3 linked regions of the Stegostoma tigrinum genome follow. The protein of the gene in region 1 binds, or shares a complex with, the protein of each later gene. Links are inferred from orthologs where the notes say so. Each region holds a gene or a part of one and is shown in the gene's direction. Other genes may lie near its edges.

The links.
Region 2: timm21 (region 1) and timm23a share a complex: the UniProt entries of both Homo sapiens proteins name them as parts of the TIM23 complex. The link is inferred for Stegostoma tigrinum from reciprocal best matches to the Homo sapiens genes TIMM21 and TIMM23.
Region 3: timm21 (region 1) and timm17a share a complex: the UniProt entries of both Homo sapiens proteins name them as parts of the TIM23 complex. The link is inferred for Stegostoma tigrinum from reciprocal best matches to the Homo sapiens genes TIMM21 and TIMM17A.

Annotation. Positions count from the first base shown.
Region 1 is NC_081358.1:59,525,417-59,533,220, forward strand, and holds the start of timm21 (mitochondrial import inner membrane translocase subunit Tim21-like), read left to right. Parts: upstream 1-4,804; 5' UTR 4,805-4,903; coding exon 4,904-5,213; intron 5,214-7,804. UniProt on the Homo sapiens protein: Participates in the translocation of transit peptide-containing proteins across the mitochondrial inner membrane.
Region 2 is NC_081390.1:6,218,505-6,226,044, forward strand, and holds the start of timm23a (mitochondrial import inner membrane translocase subunit Tim23), read left to right. Parts: upstream 1-4,519; 5' UTR 4,520-4,637; coding exon 4,638-4,755; intron 4,756-6,855; coding exon 6,856-6,914; intron 6,915-7,540. UniProt on the Homo sapiens protein: Essential component of the TIM23 complex, a complex that mediates the translocation of transit peptide-containing proteins across the mitochondrial inner membrane.
Region 3 is NC_081374.1:27,524,135-27,531,348, reverse strand, and holds the start of timm17a (mitochondrial import inner membrane translocase subunit Tim17-A), read left to right. Parts: upstream 1-4,193; 5' UTR 4,194-4,236; coding exon 4,237-4,262; intron 4,263-7,211; coding exon 7,212-7,214. UniProt on the Homo sapiens protein: Essential component of the TIM23 complex, a complex that mediates the translocation of transit peptide-containing proteins across the mitochondrial inner membrane.

The DNA of each region.
Region 1 (7,804 bases):
CGTGATTGAGCCTCCATCCCGTGGAAAAAGCCTCATATTTTCCATTCTATCCATGCTATTCACAATCTTATAAACCTCTCTTAGGTCGCCCCGCAACCCTCCTGCGTTCCAGCAAAAACAAACCCAGTATAGTCAGCCTTTCTTAATTAAAATTACACCAAACTAGGCAACATCCTGGTAAACCTTTTCTGTGCCCTCTCCAAACATCCACATTCATCTGGTAGTGTGGTGACCAGAACTGTTCACAATATTCCAAGTGTGGTCCGACTAAAGTTCTGTAAAGTTGCAGCGTAACCTGTCTGTCCTTATACTTAAAACCCCTTCCAATAAAGGCAAGAATGCCAAAGCCTTTTTTACGACCTTATCAACCTGTACCGCCACCTTCAGTGATCTGTGGACCTGCAGATCTGTCTGCAATTCAATACTCCTAGGGGTTGTGCTATTCACTGTATAATTTCCACCTATACTTGACCTTCCAAAATGTATCACCTCACATTTGTCCAGATTAAAGTCCAGCTGCCATTTTTCTGCCCATGCCTCCAACTTATCTATATTCTACTGTATCCTCTGACAGTCCTCATTGTCCACAAATCTACCAATCTATGTATCATCCGCAAACCTACAAATTGGACCAGCCACGTTTTCCTCCAAATCATTTTGGGGCAGCATGGTGCCACAGTAGGTAGCACTGCTGTCTCACAGTGCCACAGTTCCAAGTTTGATTCCAGCCTTGGGTGACTGTCTGTGTGGAGTTTGCATATTCTCCCAGTGTCTGCATGGGTTTCCTCCGGATACTCTGGTTTCCTCCCACAGTCCAAAGATGTGCAGGTTAGGTGGTTTGGCCATGCGATATTGCCCGTAGTGTTCAGGGAAGTGTAGATTAGGTGGATTATAGGGTAATGGGTCTGGGTGGGATGCTCTGAGGTTTGGTGTGGATTTGTTGGGCCAAAGGGCCTGTTTTCACACTGTAGGGATTCTATGATTTTGGTCAATCTCAAACAGAAGAGGTCCCAGCACTGATACTGCACAACCCTCCATTCCAAAAAGCATCCTTCCACTGCTACCCTGTGTTTCCTATGACTAAGCCAATTCTGTATCAGTCTTACCAGTTCACCCTGATACGGTGTAACATTTTTTTTTTAAACCTTATCAAAGGCTTTGCTGAAGTCCATGTAGACAACATCAACAGCTTTTCCTTCATCAGAGATAATGTGAACTGCAGATGCTGGAGAATCCAAGATAACAAAGTGTGAAGCTGGATGAACACAGCAGGCCAAGCAGCATCTCAGGAGCACAAAAGCTGACGTTTCGGGCCTAGACCCTTCATCAGAGAGGGGGATGGGGAGAGGGTTCTGAAATAAATAGGGAGAGATGGGAAAGCGGACTGAAGATGAATAGAGGAGAAGATAGGCGGAGAGGAGAGTATAGGTGGGGAGAGGATAGGTCAGTCCAGGAGGACAGACAGGTCAAGGAGGCGGGAAGAGGTTGGTAGGTGGGAAATGGAGGTGCGGCTTGAAGTGGGAGGACGGGATAGGTGAGAGGAGGAACAGGTTAGGGAGGCGGGGACGAGCTGGGTTGGTTTTGTGATGCAGTGGGGGGAGGGAATGAGCTGGGCTGGTTTTGGGATGCAGTGGGGGAGGGGGAGATTTCGAAGCTTGTGAAGTCCACATTGATACCATTGGGCTGCAGGGTTCCCAAGCGGAATATGAGTTGCTGTTCCTGCAACCTTCGGGTGGCATCATTGTGGCACTGCAGGAGGCCCATGATAGACATGTCGTCTAAGGAATGGGAGGGGGAGTTAAAATCGTTCACGACTGGGAGGTGCAGTTGTTTATATTGTGAACCGAGCAGAGGTGTTCTGCAAAGCGGTCCCCAAGCTTCCGCTTGGTTTCCCCAATGTAGAGGAAGCCACACTGGGTATAATGGATACAGTATATACTACATTAGCAGATGTGCAGGCTTCCTAAACAACCACAGGAAGTGCTACACTTGCCCCCAGACCTCCTCCCTCACCCCCACCCCAGGCCCCAAGATGACTTTCCTTATTACATCTGCTTAATAAGGAAAGTCATCTTGGGGCCTGGGGTGGGGGTGAGGGAGGAGGTCTGGGGGCAAGTGTAGCACTTCCTGTGGTTGTTTAGGAAGGTGCCGGTTGTGGTGGGGTTGGAGGGGAGTGTGGAGCGGACAAGGGAGTCACGGAGAGAGTGGTCTCTCTGGAAGGCAGACAAGGGTGGGGATGGAAAAATGTCTTGGGTGGTGGGGTCAGATTGTAGATGGCAGAAGTGTTGGAGGATGATGCGTTGTATCCGGAGGTTGGTGGGGTGGTATGTGAGGTCGCGGGGGATTCTCTTAGGGCGATTATGGCGGGGGCGGGGTGTGAGGGATGTGTTGCGGGAGACACGGTCAAGGGTGTTCTCGACCACTGCAGGGGGGACATTGTGGTCCTTGAAGAATGCTGCCATCTGGGATGTGCGGGAGTGGAATGCCTCATCCTGGGAGCAGATGCGGCGGAGGCGAAGGAATTGGGAATAGGGTGCTGGAATTTTTGCAGGGGGGTGGGTGGGAGGATGTGTATTCTAGGTAGCTGTGGGAGTCGGTGGGCTTGAAGTGGACATCAGTTTCTAGCTGGTTGCCTGAGATGGAGGCAGAGGGGTCCCGGAAGGTGAGGGATGTTTTGGCCAAAGATATCTGTCAGTGCTCCAGCAATTTGTTCTCTTGCCTCTCTCAATATTCTAGGATAGATCCCATCAGGACCCAGGGACTTATCTACCTGAATACTTTTTAAGACGCACAACACCTCTCTCTTTTTAATAGCAACTTTGTTTAGAAACTCAACACTGCCTTCCCTGAGATTATCCTGAACCAATTCTTTCTCTTTGGTGAATACTGACACAAAGTATTCATTTAGGTCCTCATCTACTTCTTCAGGCTTCACAGATAGATTCTCTCCCTTGTCCTTGAGTGGGCCAAACCTTTCCCTGGGTACCTTGTTGCTTTCATAGATGTATGAAAAATTTTGGGATTCTCCTTAATCCTGTTTGCTAACAACTTTTCATGACCCCTTTTAGCCCTTATAATTCCTTATTTAAGTTCTCTACTACTTTTCATATGTACTTCAAGGGCTTCATGAGTGCCCATCCACCTAGATCATACGTATGCTTCCTTTTTCTTTCTGACCAAGATAATAACATCCCTGGTCATCCAAGGTTCACATAACTTTCTTTATTCTTTCAGGAAATGAGGGCATCGCTGGCTTGGCAGTATTTATTGCCCAGAGAGCAGTTAAGAGCCAACCACACTGCTGTGAATCTGGAGTCACATAGGCCAGACCAGGTGAGGATGGCAGATTTCCTTCCCTGAAAGACATCAGTGAACTAGATGGAATTTCCCTAACAATCAACAATGGATTCAGTCATCATGAGATGTTTAATTCCAGATATTTATTGAATTCAAGGTCCCCTGAACGTTATCTGGGTCTCTGGATTAACAGTCCAGTGATAATACCACTAGGCCATTGCCTCCCCTATGGCCATTGCCATAGCTATATGTCATTCGCGCAGGAATGTGCTTCTCCTGAACTCTTATCAACTGCCATTTAAAATATTCCCAAATGTCGATGTAGATTTACCCTCAAACAGCTACCTCCAATCCAAATTCACCAGTTCCCGCCTAATACTGTTGTAGTTCGCCTTCCCCCAATTTAACACTATAAGACATAGGAACAGAAATTAGGCCATTCAGCCCATCTAGTCTGCTCAAACATTCAATCATGGCTGATAAGTTTCTCAACCCCATTCTCCCACTTCCTCCCCATAACTATTGATCCCCCCAACAGTCAAGAACCGATCTATCTCAGTCTTAAAGAAACTCAATGACCTGACCTCCACAGCCTTCTGAGGCAGTGCATTCCATAGATTCACCACTCTCTGGCTGAAGAAGTTTCTCGTTACCTCCATTCTAAAACCTCTTCCCTTTACTCTAAGGCTGTGCCCTCAGATCCTGGTCTCTCCTACTGATGGAAACATCGTCCCAACATCCACTCTGACCAGACTTTTCAGTATTCTGTAAGTTTCAATTAGATCCCCCTGCACCCTTCTAATCTCCGTCAAGTATAGACCCAGAGTCGTCAACCATTCCTTCAATATACTTTTCATTCTTTCACACGGGAAAGCTGTTATCCCCATCCACGAGTAACCTTTGGCCACCTGATGTGGAGGGAGAGGGGCAAATTAAAGGATCATTTGAGACCTGGGCCTGGTCCAAATGGCCATCAAAAGTCCAGACAGCACACTGTCAAGAGGGTTATTAGCTCAAATGCCTGTTTCTATCTAGAGGTAAGTATCTGTCATGATGAAAGGTCCACAAAAGGTCATATGGTCTATTCCTGCTCCCAGTTATTACTTCTTATTTACTGCCACCAAGTCCACACCACTAGATGTGTCCACAAGTGCAACTGAGATCTTCCACAACCACTGGAAGGGCAACAATTGATGGCCAATATTAGGAATTCCATGACGTTATTGCCTTGTATTTCTGTGCACTTTTACGAATTTGGTTTTGGATAGCAACATTGAACATCTAATTGGTGTGTATTATAATGAGTTGGGATTGCATTATGTTTAAGAAATTGGTCTGTGCCTTAGAAGGGTTAACGACTTGAAACAGACATCCTCTATTTCAGTAGCAGATATGTGCCCCGCTGCAACAACTGAAACAACCAATGAAAAAGGTAGGCGGAAATCGGGGGAAAGCAGTATGGATTTTGTAGTTTTTGTCGAATCGTGTTCTTGCAACCAATAAGCAGGCGGAACTACATGTCCCACCGATCTATTCAGACGCTGATCCAATGGAAGAATGACAGCGAGGTAGAAAGTATAGTTTCTACAATAGAAAAGAGAAACAAATGGCTAATGTTTACTTTTTGCGAGCGGTGTGCACACACAGAAGAAGGCTGGTGTTCCAGTACAAAACCCAATTCTCGCTACACTGTTCCGCACGACCCCAAATCTGTAACTCGTTTCGTGAGAGGCCTGGAATTGTAGGAGTCACTACTTGTCCGCTGCAAAAGCAGCACTCACTTTACTTCGTTAGCACGGTTCCCTGGCGGTGCATTTTCACAGAGACTAAATTGAGAAATCCAGCTCCGGGGAAGAAGCAAGAAAACAAAGTATCATTGAGAAAGAGTACCCCGCCCGCATCAACAACTCAGAAAGGTAAAATTGTTCCAAATTGTCCCTTCGAACTAACACCCTGTAATCTGAGTATTTAACACTGCTGTCCGAGATCAAGGTCTGTACAAAACTAAGTTATTCCACTTCCTTACCTTAGCCTCCACAGTTAGCTCAGAATTCAAAGTTAAAACCAATTAGAAGAGGAGTGCAATGAGTGATATCGGGAAAAAAAAGTCTGACATAGACGTACCAAAATTCAAAGAACTTGAATTTGTTTAGCACCTTCTTATTGTCAACTATCCCACAGTGTTCCAGGTGGTTCATTGGAGTTTACCAGACAAAGTAAAAAGTTGCCCATATGTTGGCAGCAACAGTGAGACAAATCCAGCCTGATCAGTTATAATTCTTGTCAGCCTAGCTTCAATCATCAGGTTAAAATGTGCTATTAAGTGACACTTGTACTGCAAAACGTGCTCATTTTGTGTTCCACTGGGGCCACTTGTTCCTGGACCTCATTGCAGCCTTGGCCCAAAAGTGGACGAAAGAGCTGAATTCCAGGATTGAAGGTGGAAGTGGCTGCTACTGACATAGATACAGCTGAAGTTGTGACACTGAGGAGCTATTAGAAAAAATGATGCCAATGGGAATCAGGGAGAAAACTCTTCACTAACTGGAGACTTATCAAGTACAGAGAAAGGAGATTGTTGGAAGCCAGTTATTTCAGCAGTAGGAGCTCTTCAGGTCAGTGAGAAAAATCCAACTATCTTCAGCAGCTCCATCCATTTTAGGGTCAGAATATTTGACAATTATTTTGTTTTCTGGTCCTCTCGCAATTATTCAAACAATGAAGTCATCTGTGCTTTCATGCAGTTAGTCAGGTAACATCCAAGTTTGGATTGAAAAGTGTCAAGAAAAAGTTGTGAACAGAAATGCCCATCCCCAAAAAATGGATCTAACAACATCCACTTCACATTCATTGGTATTTCCATCGACCTACCCCTCATGATCAATATCATGGGTGTAGAGTTTATCATTGACCAAAATGTGAGACCAACATAATGAATTCTGTAATTACAATACTATTTGAAGGTATGATGACTGTAGTGATTACACATTTTCTAATTTGTTAAATTCTATCCATCAAGCCAAAATCTAATGCACTGCACTCACCTTACTGTGATAGTACAGAGATAATGGGAACTGCAGATGCTGGAGATTCCAAGATAAGATTCCAAGATTCCAAGTCTAGGCCCGAAACGTCAGCTTTTGTGCTCCTGAGATGCTGCTTGGCCTGCTGTGTTCGTCCAGCCTCACATTTTATTATCTGTGATAGTACAGATCCCAGTTGTTACATTTTCACTGGGACTAAATTGAGAAATCCAGCTCCGGAGAAGGAACAAGACAACAAAGTATCCTTGAAAAAGTGTGCCCCATCCTCATCATGCTTGCATGCAGCTCCAACTACACTCCAGACTTTACACTATCCAGGGCAAGGAAGTCCAATTGATCAATTGCTCAGACACCACTTGAAATGTCATTCATACCAGCAGGGCTGCAGTAAGTGGTATCTACCAGGTTCTGTTCAGAAACTTACCAAGATGTCTTCAACAGCATTTTGAAAGCCTTCCATCTTTACCATCTGGAAGAACAAAGGTATCTGGCAGACAGGAACACTGCCAAGTTCCCCTTCTATGTCACACAAGGCTCTGACCTATTAGCCTATCCGTCATTGTCACTCGGTTAAAGTTTTTGAACTTATCTAACAACATTGTGAGCATACCAATGCTACGTGACCTGCAGCAGCTCAAAAAAGAAATTCCCCACAAGCAAGGGTGACTAGGTAATGGGCAATAAATGCTGGCCTTTCCAGTGATGTCCACAACCTGTGAATTTTTATTTTAGATGTGCGTGAAAGAACATCAATTACAGCCCTTGCTGCAGTAGATCAATGTGAGAACCTAGTTTTAAACTGCAAAGTGCTATTTACCACAATGAGATGGTTGACTAGTTATTCCTAATGAATTTACCTAATCCCTGAACAACATGCGCCATGGGGAGAAAGTTGGAAAAATCACGAGAGATGGCCAGCAAGTTGAGGACAAAGTTCCATTTTCCAACTAAGTGTTGAATGATGAGACAAGATTCTTGCGCTTGAGTGATGAGAGGCATTTTAGTGCATATCTCCCTATTAATTATTCTATCCTCAGTATGGTGAAGTTTCCCATTCTCCTGCCTAACAGACAAAAACTAGATGTTGACAAATTTCCTGATATAAAAGCCAGAGCCGTTCCCTGGTGAATCTATCTGGCCTCTTGCCCATCTAAACATTCATCTTTGACATCTTTGGACATGCTCCATAGGCAATGCACACTCCCACCCTGACTACAGATAGAGATCTGACGTTTACCAGCGTCAGTGTATCATCTGATCCATAGCATATTTCTGCACTTCAAGCCTGTGTTTTGGAGCATGCTGGCATACTTCATCTCAATGCTGTTGCCAAAACACTCTGCGCACAAAGGGGCACCCAAGTCACAGATTGGATCAGGCTCATCAAAGGGCAATTTGCTAGCTCTCTTGGGTTAACTTGCATTGCGCTTACTTAAATGCTCGTGGAATCTCTGCCTTGCCTT
Region 2 (7,540 bases), on another chromosome or scaffold:
TCAGTATCCAGAGATAGTTCTGAGGAAGTGTCACCGGGCCCGAAATGTTAACTCAGTTTTCGCCTCCACAGATGCTGCCAGACCTGCTGAGCTTTTCCACCAACTTCATTTTAGTTCCAGAGATAGTGGATAGTAGGCAGATTCTGAAAAGAGTAGACACAGATGGTGAACAGATACAGTGTCCAGCAGGCAGTGCCCAGAGAGAGTAAACAGAGACATTGCCTGGCGGGTAGTGCCTGGAGACAGTGAACAGAGACAGTGCACAGCAGGCAGTGTCCGGGGACGATGAACAGAGACAGTGCCCAGCGGGCAGTGGCCAGAGACGGTGAACAGAGACAGTGTCCAGAGACGGTGAACAGTGACAGTGCCCAGCGGGCAGTGCCCAGAGATGGTGAACAGAGACAGTACCCAGCGGGCAGTGGCCAGAGACGGTGAACAGGGACAGTGCCTGGAGACGGTGAACACAGACAGTGCTCAGCGGGCAGTGCCCGGAGACGGTGAACAGAGACAGTGTCCAGCGGGCAGTGAACAGAGACGGTGAACAGAGACAGTGCCCTGCGGGCAGTGCCCAGAGACGGTGAACAGAGACAATACCCAGCGGGCAGTGTCCGGGGACGGAGAACAGAGACAGTGCGCAGCGGGCAGTGGCCAGAGACAGTGAACAGGGACAGTGCCCGGCGGGCAGTGTCCAGAGATGGTGAACAGAGACAGTGCCCGGGGGCAGTGAACAGAGTCAGTGAACAGAGACAGTGTCCAGCGGGCAGTACCCAGAGACAGTGAACAGAGACAGTGTCCAGCGGGCGGTGCCCAGAGATGGTGAAGAGAGACAGTGCCCAGAGACGGTGAACTGAGGCAGTGCCTGGCGGGCAGTGTCCAGAGACGGTGAACAGAAACAGTGACCAGTGGGCAGTGCCCAGAGATGGTGAACAGAGACAGTGCCCAGGGGCAGTGCCCCGAGACAGTGAACAGGGACAGTGCCCAGGGGGCAGTGCCCAGAGACAGTGAACAGAGATAGTGCCCAGGGGGTGGTGCCCGGAGACAGTGAACAGAGTCAGTGCCCAGGGGGTGGTGCCCGAAGACAGTGAACAGGGACAGTGCCCAGGGGGCAGTGCCCGGAGACGGTGAACAGAGACAGTGCCCAGGGGCAGTGCCCCGAGACAGTGAACAGGGACAGTGCCCAGGGGGCAGTGCCCAGAGACGGTGAACAGAGGCAGTGCCCAGGGGGCAGTGCCCAGAGACGGTGAACAGAGGCAGTGCCCAGGGGGTGGTGCCCGAAGACAGTGAACAGAGTCAGTGCCCAGCGGGCAGTGCCCAGAGACGGTGAACTGAGGCAGTGCCCAGAGACGGTGAACTGAGGCAGTGCCCAGGGATGCTGAGCAGAGGCAGTACCCGGAGACGGTGAACAGACACAGTGCGCAGCGGGCAGTGCCCGGAGATGGTGAACAGAGACAGTGCCCAGCGGGCGGTGCCCAGAGACGGTGAAGAGAGACAGTGTCCAGAAACGCTGAACAGAGGCAGTGCCCAGAGACAGTGCCCAGTGGGCAGTGCCCAGAGATGATGAACAGGGTCAGTACCCCGTGGGCAGTGGCCGGAGACGGTAAACAGGGACAGTACCCAGCGGGCAGTGTCCAGAGATGGTGAACAGAGACAGTGCCCAGGGGCAGTGCCCCGAGACAGTGAACAGGGACAGTGCGCAGGGGGCAGTGCCTGGAGACAGTGAACAGAGATAGTGCCCAGGGGGTGGTGCCCGGAGACAGTGAACAGAGTCAGTGCCCAGGGGGCAGTGCCCAGAGACGGTGAACAGAGACAGTGTCCAGAGACGGTGAACAGAGACAGTGTCCAGCGGGCAGTGCCCAGAGACGGTGAACAGGGACAGTGCCTGGAGACGGTGAACAGAGACAGTGCCTGGCAGGCAGTGCCCAGAGATGATGAACAGGGTCAGTACCCCGTGGGCAGTGGCCGGAGACGGTAAACAGGGACAGTACCCAGCGGGCAGTGCCTGGAGATGGTGAACAGAGACAGTACCCAGCGGGCAGTGTCCAGAGATGGTGAACAGAGACAGTGCCCGGGGGCAGTGCCTGGAGACAGTGAACAGAGATAGTGCCCAGGGGGTGGTGCCCGGAGACAGTGAACAGAGTCAGTGCCCAGGGGGCAGTGCCCAGAGACGGTGAACAGAGACAGTGTCCAGAGACGGTGAACAGTGACAGTGTCCAGCAGGCGGTGCCCAGAGATGGTGAACAGAGGCAGTGCCCAGAGACGGCGAACAGAGACAGTGACCAGTGGGCAGTGTCCAGAAACTTCATCCAGCAGCAGTGTCCAGAGACAGTGCCCAGCGGGCAGTGTCCGGAGACAGTGAACAGAGACAGTGCCCAACGGGCAGTGCCCAGAGACGGTGAACAGGGACAGTGCCCAGAGACGGCGAACAGAGACAGTGACCAGTGGGCAGTATCCAGAAACTTCATCCAGCAGCAGTGTCCAGAGACAGTGCTCAGCGGGCAGTGTCCAGAGTCGGTGAACAGAGACAGTACCCAGCGGGTAGTGCTCGGAGATGGTGAACAGGGACAGTGCCCAGCAGGCAGTGTCCAGAGACAGTGAACAGAGAAAGTGCCCAGCGGGCAGTGCCCAGAGACGGTGAAGAGAGGAGTGCCGAGCGGGCAGTGGCCGGAGACGGTGAACAGAGACAGTGACCAGTGGGCAGTGTCCAGAGACTTCATCCAGCAGCAGTGTCCAGAGACAGTGCCCAGCGGGCAGTGTCCGGAGACAGTGAACAGAGACAGTGCCCAGCGGGCAGTGCCCAGAGACAGTGAACAGGGACAGTGCCTGGAGACGGTGAACAGGGACAGTGCCGAGCGGGCAGTATCCGGAGATGATGAACAGAGACATTGCCCAGCAGGCAGTGTCCAGAGACGGTGAACAGAGACAGTGTCCAGCAGGCAGTGCCCGGAGGCGGTGAACAGAAACAGTGACCAGTGGGCAGTGCCCAGAGATGGTGAACAGAGATAGTGTCCAGGGGGTGGTGCCCGGAGACAGTGAACAGAGTCAGTGCCCAGGGGGCAGTGCCCAGAGATGGTGAACAGAGACAGTGCCCAGAGACGGTGAACAGAGACAGTACCCAGCGGGCAGTGTCCGGAGATGGTGAACAGAGACAGTGCCCAGGGGCAGTGCCCCGAGACAGTGAACAGGGACAGTGCCCAGGGGGCAGTGCCCAAAGACAGTGAACAGAGATAGTGCCCAGGGGGTGGTGCCCGGAGACAGTGAACAGAGTCAGTGCCCAGTGGGTGGTGCCCGAAGACAGTGAACAGAGTCGGTGCCCAGAGACGGTGAACAGAGGCAGTGCCCGGAGACGGTGAACAGACACAATGCCCAGTGGGCAGTGCCCTGAGACAGTGAACAGAGACAGTGCCCAGAGATGGTGAACTGTGGCAGTGCCCAGAGATGCTGAGCAGAGGCAGTACCCGGAGACGGTGAACAGACACAGTGCCCAGTGGGCAGTGCCTGGAGACAGTAAAGAGGGACAGTGCGCAGCGGGCAGTGCCCGGAGACGGTGAACAGAGACAGTGTCCAGAGACGGTGAACAGAGACAGTGCCCAGCAGGCGGTGCCCAGAGACGGTGAACAGAGGTAGTGCCCAGAGACAATGAACAGAGGCAGTGCCCAGAGACAGTGAACAGAGACAGTGCCCAGTGGGCAGTGCCCAGAGTTGATGAACAGGGTCAGTACCCCATGGGCAGTGGCCGGAGACAGTAAACAGTGACAGTACACAGCGGGCAGTGCCTGGAGATGGTGAACAGAGACAATATCCAGCGGGCAGTGTCCAGAGATGGTGAACAGAGACAGTGCCCAGGGGCAGTGCCCCGAGACAGTGAACAGGGACAGTGCCCAGGGGGCAGTGCCTGGAGACAGTGAACAGAGATAGTGCCCAGGGGGTGGTGCCCGGAGACAGTGAACAGAGTCAGTGCCCAGGGGGCAGTGCCCAGAGACGGTGAACAGTGACAGTGTCCAGAGACGGTGAACAGTGACAGTGTCCAGAGACGGTGAACAGTGACAGTGTCCAGCAGGCGGTGTCCAGTGACAGTGTCCAGAGACGGTGAACAGAAACAGTGACCAGCAGGCAGTGCCCAGAGATGATGAACAGGGTCAGTACCCCGTGGGCAGTGGCCGGAGACGGTAAACAGGGACAGTACCCAGGGGGTGGTGCCTGGAGACAGTCAACAGAGTCAGTGTCCAGAGACGGTGACCAGGGTCAGTGCCCAGGGGGCAGTGCCCATCTTCACTCGGCTGGTTTTGGGAATTTTGCCCCTGACCGGAATGGGTTTGTCATAGTACAAGTCTGAAATCTAGGATGAAGTTCTCTGACGACCGAAAGAGAATGAACAGGAATGACAAGCACCTTTGTCCCTTTTTTTTGAGGGTAAATTATAAACGTCGCTCCCAAGCACCACGTGACCCGTGTCCTCATCATCATGGCGGCAGCAACGTGACCAGCACGTGATGAAGGAACCGGGCCGTAAAGTGAGGAGGTCATACTACTGTAAAGTGTCGCGCGGTCGCTATGGTTTCCCGTGGTCGGTGAGTCTGGAATCGGTCGAGGTGACGGACGGATCGTTTTTAAATTCGATCCCCCTCAGAAGGACGGAAATGGACAACTCGGGGACTGGGGGAGGCTTACGGGCTGGGTTCGGCCTTTTCAGCGGCGGCGGTGGCGCTGGCTCCTCGGTGCCAGATTATTCTCAGCCCGACCTTTCCCGTGTTCCCTGTGAGTAAGAGAGCGAAGCCTGGGACAGTAGGCCGCATCTTCACTAGTGTCAGCGCCTGGTTTAGCCTAACTCTGGCCGAATGCTCTTAGTTCGTATAACCAACCCCTCGTACAGTTTTCTCAGGGTCTATGGTAGATTGTAATGGGGAAAGCTGGGAGCTGTATTTGGATTTGATAAAGTACCACGAGTTGTTATTACGCAACATGAGGATTTAATAACCACACTCTGGGATTTTCATTTGATGTCCCTGTTAAGGTTCAAGTCCTCCCGTTTCTCATCCCTTGTCCTTTTTTAAAAACCAAATATAACCTGTACCTAGGCAGGAGAAAATCTGAGTGAAATGTCATGCTTCTAGCTATTCCAGTTGCATCGTGTTGTGTGTAGTCGAACCCAGCTCTTCCTGATGTCTCCAAGACCGTTGCCATGACCATATTTTGGGGCTGATGATACCCTTTAAATGATCGGTGGAATAACGTACCTCTCCCCGTTTCTCTTCCCCCCCCCCCCCCCGCTCCGCTTCGCTTCGACGTACACCGGGAGATGTCAGCACACGGACCTCCTAACTTGAACTGTCCGGTGCCCCCACACCTGCTGTTGGCTAGCCAGAATGCCAGTGATCATGGATCCCCGCTTTCCCACGGCCCTTCAGTCTTTTTGAAATTTTCTCATCTACCTGTTCAGAGATGTTATTGCACATCTCTGGAGTAGACCGGACTTGAATCTGGTTAGAGACAAAAGAAAAATTGCAGATGCTGGAATCCAAGTTAAACAAACAGGAGACTGGAAGAACACAGCAAGCCAGGCAGCATCTGAAGGAAAGGAGAATTTAATGTTTCAGGTATTACCGTTCTTTTGAAGAAGGATAAATACCTGAAACGTTGACATGAATCTGGGCCTCATTGGTAAATGTGATTGGACTCAGTTGGGTGTTGCATTTACATTTACATGGATTCAGAATTAGTCAGCAGAAGAACAGTTAACCTTCCGAAGGGCATTCCTGCAACTGAACCAGCTGCCAAAAGAAATAATCTCAATCCTGCCATTGGAAATCAAGTCCCATTTTTAGATTATTTCTGTTTAAAAGTTTTCATTATAGCAGCACCATCTCAGCAGGTAGAACCACCCATTAAAATGGCATAAATTATTAGAAAATATTATTGGAATATTAACATTAAACTGATGCTGATGCAACTAAAGCAGAGTATGCAGGAAGAGAATAAGACTACCACCAGATGTCTTGAATACTTCGCAGCCAATTAAATAGTTTTGAACTGTAGGAAGTTATAATGTGGGAAAAGTGACATCTGTGTGCACATTCTTGTAATCAAAAGCATGATAACCAAAAATCCTCCTTTTAGTATTATGTTAATTGTGGGATAAGTATCGACCAAGTCGCTAGTGGTAACCTCCAATCAATCGTTTTCCAGCCACCTTCAATTTTGAAGAGTTAAATTGGATTGAACGTGTTAGCTGTGTTCCTGTCTCCACAGATGCTGCCAAACCTGCAGAGTTTCTCCTGCAATTTCTGTTTTAATTTCAGATTTCCAACATTTAGTATTTTTGCTTCATCCATACTGGATACCTCCATACATTGAACCCCTGTTTTGGTCCCAAATTAAATTTACACTTCCTTTTTAATCTTTTAAGCCTGTAAAAGCTTTTCGATTCCTCTTTACCTTCATGTGAGTCTTTCCCTTCTCTCGCCATCTTCAGCGAGAGAATCTAGACAATCACATTAATATTCAGTTGCAACATCCTGAGTCATTGACCAGAAATTTAGCTGAACCAGCCATGTAAATGTGCAAAAATGATGCTGCTTGGCCTGCTGTGTTCATCCAGCCTCACATTTTATTATCTTGGAATTCTCCAGCATCTGCAGTTCCCATTATCTATGTAAATGTGCAAGATTGGTTCTAAACTGTGACACTACTGCCGGTTCCTAACTTCCCTTTGCGTAAATATCTGTTGTTGACGGTCTGACTAAAGTGGGAATGTGGGTAACTGGGAAAGAAAAAAAACTAATATGTAGAGTGGTACTGTAAGATACAAAAATGACAAGGGATATTATTGGAGCTAACCTTTACCTTTGCCGTTTTCAGTAACTGGAATGAGCCCTTTGTCTCCATATCTGAACCTTGATCCTCGATATTTGATCCAAGTAAGTAGAAAATATTTTTCCATTTGAAGTATTCTGGGCTCCATGAACCTGTTTGAAAATCTTTCATGGGTGAAATAAAATACTTTCTGATGTTTTTAATGTAATGTGTCATTCTATACTATATAACCTAAAATGGTTCGCAAGTCTATGCTTCACTGTGGCATTTGGAACTGACTTTCAATGCCTTTTTAAGACTTGAATGTTATATGTCTGCGCTTTGCTAAGTGGACTTGTGTGGATACTTTATTAAAGCTTGCCCTCCTAGTGTGAAGGTAAAGTGGCTTTCTCTTTCTCCAATATTAAGCCTATAGGTTTGGGTGATTCAATAAGTGCAGGTAGGTTTAAACTGAGGGCTGTGTGAAGCTCCAGCAAACCAACTCTTAGAGGCCAGATAACTCAGTTCTGTTTCTGTCATTATTTCTTCTCTGAATCTGTGGTGGTTAGGGGAAAAGATTATTCAGAATGCTGTTCGTCATTAAGTCCTAATAACAATCAGTCAATCAATCTTGGCGTCGTGAGGTACATAAGGATTTATACATGGGATGGTATTTAAAGTTAACCCTAATCTTTGAATAAATATCTATGCGACTCATGAAAGCGTGAGATTGAACGATCTTAATTATTGC
Region 3 (7,214 bases), on another chromosome or scaffold:
CTTTGACAAAGGAATATAGCGTAATTCCAATTCAAGCAGCTGCTGTGTTATTTTCGAAGGCATTGAATCAGACCTCATCTGAAGTTTTTTTTTGGTCAGTTAATTTTAGAGAGGAATATTATAGAGTAATGCACAAAATATTATAGAATCCTTACAGTGCTGAAAGAGGCTATTCAGGTCATTGAGGCTTTACCAATCCTCCAAAGAACATTCCAAATAGACCTAACTGCCTACCCTAGCTACACATTCTCTATCATCCATATCCTTCTCCACTACAAACACTGATGCAAAATACTCATTTAATATCTCCCCCAGCTCCTGTGGTTCCACACATCGGTGGCTTTGATTATCTTTAAGAAGTCCTGTTCTCTTCCTCATTGCCCTTTTGTCTTTAACGTATTTGTAGAATCCCTTTGGACTCTCCTTATCCCTATGTGCCAAAGTGATCTTAGTCCCCTTTCTGCCCTCCTGATTCCCTCTTAAGTATACCGCTACTGCCTTTGCATTCTTTCAGGGAATCACTCAATTTCTGCTGTCTATACGTGACATACTCTTCCTTCTTAATCTTAACCAAAATCTCAATTTCTCTCATCACCTAGCATTCCCTACAGCTACCAGCCTTGATCTTCACCGTAACAAGAACATACTGTCTTTGGACTCTCATTATCTCATTTCTGAATGCTTTCCATTTTTCAGCCATTCCCTTAACTACGAACATCTGCCCCCATCAACTTTTGAAATTTCTTGCCTAATACTGTTGAAATTAACCTTCTTCCAATTTAAAACTTTAGCTTTTAGATCCGGTCCATTCTTTTCCATCACTATTGAAAACTAATAGAATTATGGCCACTGGCTCCAAAGTGCTCCCCCACTGACACCTCAGCCACCTGCACTGCTTTATTTCCCAAGAGTAGGTTAAGTTTTACCCTTTCTCTAGCAGGCACATCCACATGCTGAGTCAGAAAATTGTCTTCCACGCGCTTAAAAAATTCCTCTCCATCCAAGCCCTTAACACTATGGCAGACCTTGTCTAAGTTTGGAACGTTAAAATCCCCTCCCATATCACCCTGTTATTCTTACAGGTAACTGAGAACTCCTTACATGTTGTTTCTCAATTTCCCACTGACTATTGGTGGGGGTCTATAGTACTATTCCAATAAGGTGATCATCCCTTTTTAATTTCTGAGTTCTACCTAAATAACTCCCCAGATGTATTCCCAGGAACATGCTCCCTAAATACACTTAATCCTGTAATGTGATTCCTAATCAAAAATGCCACAGCCCCTTCCCTCTTGCCCCACTTTCAATCCATTGTGTAACAACTATACCCTGGAACATTAAGCTCTCAGTCCAGTCCACCCCTGAGCAACATCTCCATAATTGCTTTAATATCCCAATCCCAGTTCCTAACTATGCCCTATGTTTATCTGCTTTACTTGTTAGCCTTCTTGAATTGAAATAATTGCAATTTAATTTATTAGTCCTACCTGGTTCTCTACTTTGTTCCTGTCTGCCTTGTCTGTTTGACTTACTCTTTCTCCCAACTGTACCAGACTCAGGCTGATCACTTTCCTCTCTATGTCCCTGGTTCCTAACCACTACCCTTATTAATTTAAATCCTCCCCAGCAGCTGTAACAAATCTCCCTGCCAGTATATTAGTCTGCATCCAATTCAGGTGCAATCTGTCCTTCTTTTGCAGATCACTTCCACCCCAGAAGAAATTCCAACGATCCAAAATTGTGACTTTTTCTCCTCTGCACCAACTCCTCAGCCACACATTCATCTGTTCTTTCCTCCTATTTCTACCCTCACTACCTCATGGCACTGGGAGTAATCCAGATATTACTGCCTTTGAGGACCTACTTTATAAATTCCTGTCTAAGTTCCTACATTCTCTCCTCAGAATCTCATCCTTTTCTCTTCCAAAGTCATTAGTTCCAAACATGTACAATGAACTCCTGCTAGTCTGTCTCCCCTTTGAGAATATTTTGCATCCTCTCCAAGATATCTTTGATCCTGGCTCCAGGGAGGCAACACGCCATTCTGAGATAGTAGGATCTGCCAATGCTGGAGAATCTGAGATAACTATGTTTAGAGCTAGATGAACACAACAGGTTAAGCAGAATCAGAGGAGCAGGAAAGCTGATGTTTTGGGTCTGGACCCTTTTTCTGAAGAAGGGTCCAGACCTGACACGTCAGCTTTCCTGCTGGTCTGATGCTGGCTGGCCTGCTCTGTTCATCTAGCTCAACACCTTGTTAGCACACCATTCTGATGTATCACTGTTGCCGTGGAATCATCTGTCTCTGCCTCTGACTAGAGAGTTTTCCTGTTACAATCGATCGCTTGGAATGTGGCATACCCTTCATTCCATTTGAGTCAGTCTCAGTACAAGAAACCTGGTTGTCAGTGCCACATTCTCCTGAAAGTCCATCACTGCCTACATTTTCTAAAACAGCATATTTGTTTGAGGGGATAGCCACAGGAGACTCCTGCACTACCTGCCTCCCTCGCCTACCCTTTCTGGAGGTGACCTATTTACCCGACTGTATCCTCAGTTTACCTCCCTCCCCGAAACTGCCATCCATCACACCCCCTAGCTCTTATAAATTCCTCATTGCCTTTACCTGCCACTCCAACCAATCCATACGCTCCAATAAGATTCACAACCAAACATACTTTCTGCAGACATAATCATCAGTAACGTGGAAACTCTGGCTTATCTCACACATCCAATAGGAAGATCATATCACTCTACTAAAGGCCATCCTTGCACCTTAACAATCTACAGACCCAGAAAATAGTACAGTCTTGCTGCTTTAAAATCACGGCTCCAGGCTGGCTTCGTACCTATGTTTTTGTATTTTTAAAGTTTAATCAAGAGACAAATCTTGAAAACAACATATAATAAATAAAAGACATCCACTCTACTCACTATTGCAGATTTACAAAAGAAACACAGTAAGCTTACACTTTAAAAAGCCACTTAGCTGCTCCCCCACTGTGAGCTCCCACACAAATTTCTCCAGGGTCCGCTGTGAATTTCACTGTTTGTTTATTTTCTTTAATCTAAACATCTATGTTCAGAGATACTTGAAAAAAGACAGAAAAGGCAATAGCTACGCAGTTTACTGCTGGGTCAGACAGTAGTGTAGGTTTCTTCCTCCATTTGAATCACTTCCCATATGGTCATTACCTTTGTCTGTCTTCCTTCTTATTAACGGGCCAAAGTTTCAAAACAATGCAACAGTTTATAAAACAGTAATTACTACTCCACTCTTTTGACTGTGGGAAGAAACCAAAGCACCCAAAGGAAACCCACACAGACACAGAGTGAATGTAACAAATTCCACACAGACAGTTGCTCGAGATTGTAATTGAACCTGATGCTGTGAGGCTAGCAACTCTTGGGAATGAACGTGCTGGTCATGCTAGATCTCCATTTTGAACTACACAAGTTGGACAGTATTTGTCATTCAGAAACAAACAAAAACAGAACATGTTGGAGAAACTCAGCAAGTCTGGCAAGCATCTGTGGAGAGAAATCAGAGCCAATGCTTCCGGTTCAGTGTCCTGAAAAAGGGTCAAAAACAAAGTTGTTGGAAAAGCTCAGCAGGTCTGGCAGCATCTGTGGAGGGAAAAAAAATTAACATTTCGGGTCCGGTGACCCATCCTCAGAACCGGACCCGAAACGTTAACTCTTTTTTTTCTCCTCCACAGATGCTGCCAGACCTGCTGAGCTTTTCCAACAACTTTGCTTTTGTTCCTTATTTACAGCATCCGCAGTTCTTTTGTTTCTTATTTCCTGAAAGAGGGTGACTGGGCGCAAACTTTCAACACTGCTTTCTCTTCAATACATGCTACCAGATCTGCCCAGTTTCGCTAGCAATTTCTGATTCAGTTTCAAATTTCCAGCATCATTCAGAAGTCTTGTTGGAAAGAGTTGGTTCAGATCTCAGAAGCTTGCTGCTATTTAAAAAAGCCTTCAGACTTTAATAATTCCTAACAATATATATTATATATAAAACGGCCGTCTTTCAACTTTTCAAAATCTAGCCTTTGGTTTCAAAAACTAATTAAGAGGAGCCGCTAATGCTCGAACTGGCAATACCATTAACGCTCACACTCCAAGCATGAGCATGAATCAGGAAGCATCACCTCCAATCGATACTTTTCTACACATGCGCCCTTTGCAGCGCGTGCGCGTAGTGGCTGCGGTCGTACGTCACAGAGGAAGATGGAGGAATATGCACGCGAGCCCTGGTGAGGTGGTCTTTTGAGAGAGTGAAAAGAATCCCTTAATCAGGCTCAGGGTTATGCGAGATGCCGGGCGGGTGCCCAGAGGAGAGGGGAACGTTGGCACCGGGAATCTAGAAACTTCTATGACCGTTACCCGCTCACCACCCGTCCAGCGGCGTCTGTGACCTTCCTGAAGGAATGTGTCCCCGAGATGGGGAGTGTCCAGGCCTATGGGCCGTCAGGAGGAGAAGAGAGATTTTTTTTTTGTTGGGTGGAGGGGGGGGGGTGGTAGTGGCATTGTTAGTTTTCGGGACTTTATTGGGGCCTGAGGGGATGTTGTAAAGGTTTTAAGCTTTAAAGGAAGGTGAACTGGGGGGATGGCCTGACACTGGAGGAGAAAGTCCTGAGGCCTGTGCCCTGGTCTGTGGAGGCAGATATATTTAAAGAGTCCCGATTCTGTTGGAGTTTGTGAGGGCCTGCACAAGAGTCTCATACCTCTACGGAGGTAAGAACCGTGTGTGTGCGCTGAGGAAGGGGGAGCTGGTGGTGGTGCGGTCAGTAGGAATGCAGCCACTGTCAAGTCTTTACTCTATGAAAGCAAAATACTGAAATAATGTCAATCTGAAATAAAAGCAGAAAGTGCTGGAGAAATGCACCAGTTCTGACAGCATTTGTGCGGAGAGAAAAACAGACTTGATGTTTCCACTCTGACAGGACTCTTCAGAACTGGGTTCTTTGGAGTAATGTATTTATTGGCTACTCAGGCTCCTTCCTTTTGCTGTGCTTCTTTAGACTGATCGTTAGACATGAATTAGGTGACTGTGGAAACAAAAGGGTTTTTTGGATGGTGGGGTAGTTTCATGCAGTTTCTTTGTTTGCCTGGTTACAGCATACAATCTGGTCTCTGTCCAGAGAGCTTAACTTGTTTTTGTTTTGGACAGTGTTAGTCCTGCAGCATTTCAGTAGCCAGAGGTGTTTGAAAATTACTGGCAGAGCCTCTGACATCTCCCTTACTTCCCTCAACAAGCTCAGTGCATCTTATCTGGGCCTGCAGAGTTGACCACTTTTTTTACATTGTTGAATGCTATAGTAGTACTTCTCTCTATATGCAAAGCCCTTCTAATATATTACAGTCCTCCACCCTGGTATCTATACTAGCATTATCCGTTTCCATCGTGAAGACTACACGATGTTCAGGACTGTGTACATGCACGTGTACATGCACATGCACACGCACACGCCCATACCCATACCCATCTACCCACCATGGTTTGTAAGCATTCTTTTCATGTCTTAAAAAAACCCTTTGGGTTTCCCTTTATTTTGTCTGTCGGTATTTTCTCGCACACACTCTTTGCTGTCCTAATTCCCTCTTAAGATATCCCTGCACGTTTTATACTCCTCTGTTGGGGGCCTTTGTAGTTAAAGTTGTCATAACCCCAGAGGACCATAGGAATGCTGTTTTATTATAAAGAGATAACTGGTGGGGTTAACCTGAAGGTCACTGTGCCTTAGGCGTGGAACAAGTTGAGAAAGCAGAATCCTCTTGGTAACTTCAGTCAATGTCGTACTTGACCGTTGGTATCACTGCATTGCAACCAGCCAGCTGAGCTAACCAGGAGTGTTGAACTGCCAGTCCTCCTCATCTGTCAGCTAAGTCTCAGTCGTAGTTAGGATACCATACATCCACGTACGTATCAGTGCCTTCAGCTCATTTAGCTTATTTCTCGGGGTCCTTGCATTAAAATATATTCAGTTTACTTTTGATAAACTGACTTCTTTCTTATCTAGCCTCTTTTTCCTCTGTTTCAGTGTTATTTATTAACATTTTAACTTATCTCTGTTTCGCTTTCCCTCCAAACTACGACTTGGGACCCCTTACTCCTTTCAATTTAATTTAAACCTCCATAACGACATTCAGTGTAACACATCTAACTGGTATAGTTCCCACCCACCCCACAAGCAGTCCCAATGCCTCGGGAATCTAAAGCCCTCCCTCCTGCAGCACTTTGCCAGCCATACATTCATTTGCTTCATCCTTCTAGTCTTAGACTTACAACGCATGGCACCCTTAATATTTTTTGACATTTTACTTTTCTGTTCTCCAGACATACCTTAACTCAATAGAATATGAGCCTTGCTTTATTTTACCCATAGTCCTGGAAAATATCTTATTGTTATTCCATTTGGGTATACCTGCTTCTCCTGGTTTTGAATTTTGTGCACTGTTATTTTGTCAAAATTCCCATGCCATTTGCTCATTGCATTTGCCACCTGCATTTCAGAAGTAATTTCAATGTGAAATCCACCCATTAATACTGATGAATGATGTTAATTGTAAAGACTTTGTTTTGTATGTTTGCTTTCACAGGTTCTCGCTGTTTATGCCAAATTCCTGTAATCTGTGAAAATGAGTGTCCTTAATCTTTAAAAATTCCAGAACATCCTTTGTAATTGAGCAAATTTACTGAAAATTGTTCTGTAAAAATTGCTTTTTTTTGTTGTAATACCAGTAAACTTTGAGCCTATCATAGCTTGGAGTTCAAGGGAAGTTGGCTAAATTGTGGATTGAGAAAAATCATGCTGTTTAATGGACTGAAAAATTACTGTTGATGACATGTAAGGCAATAGCCAAAGATGTTCCACTACTTTAACCAGTAACAAAAGACATTTTAATTATTTTGACGTCTTTCTGATGGAAAAAGTTACTAGGAAAATTATGTTAACAATTTGCAGTAACATTGTGAGTAAACTTTATGGAAAATTTCTTAAAAATACAGCACAGGACGTTGCGGTTATGTTGAACCGAACAGAGGGCAGGATTATGGATTTCTGCATAACTATCATTAGAGCAGCCATGAAATTGGTTAGTAGAAGGAAATGGTGAACTTGCTTTTGGCTTTTCTCCTTAGTTGAACATCTAATATGGCAAGTTATAATGTATATCAACTAAGTAATGTTTCTTTTCATTAGCCC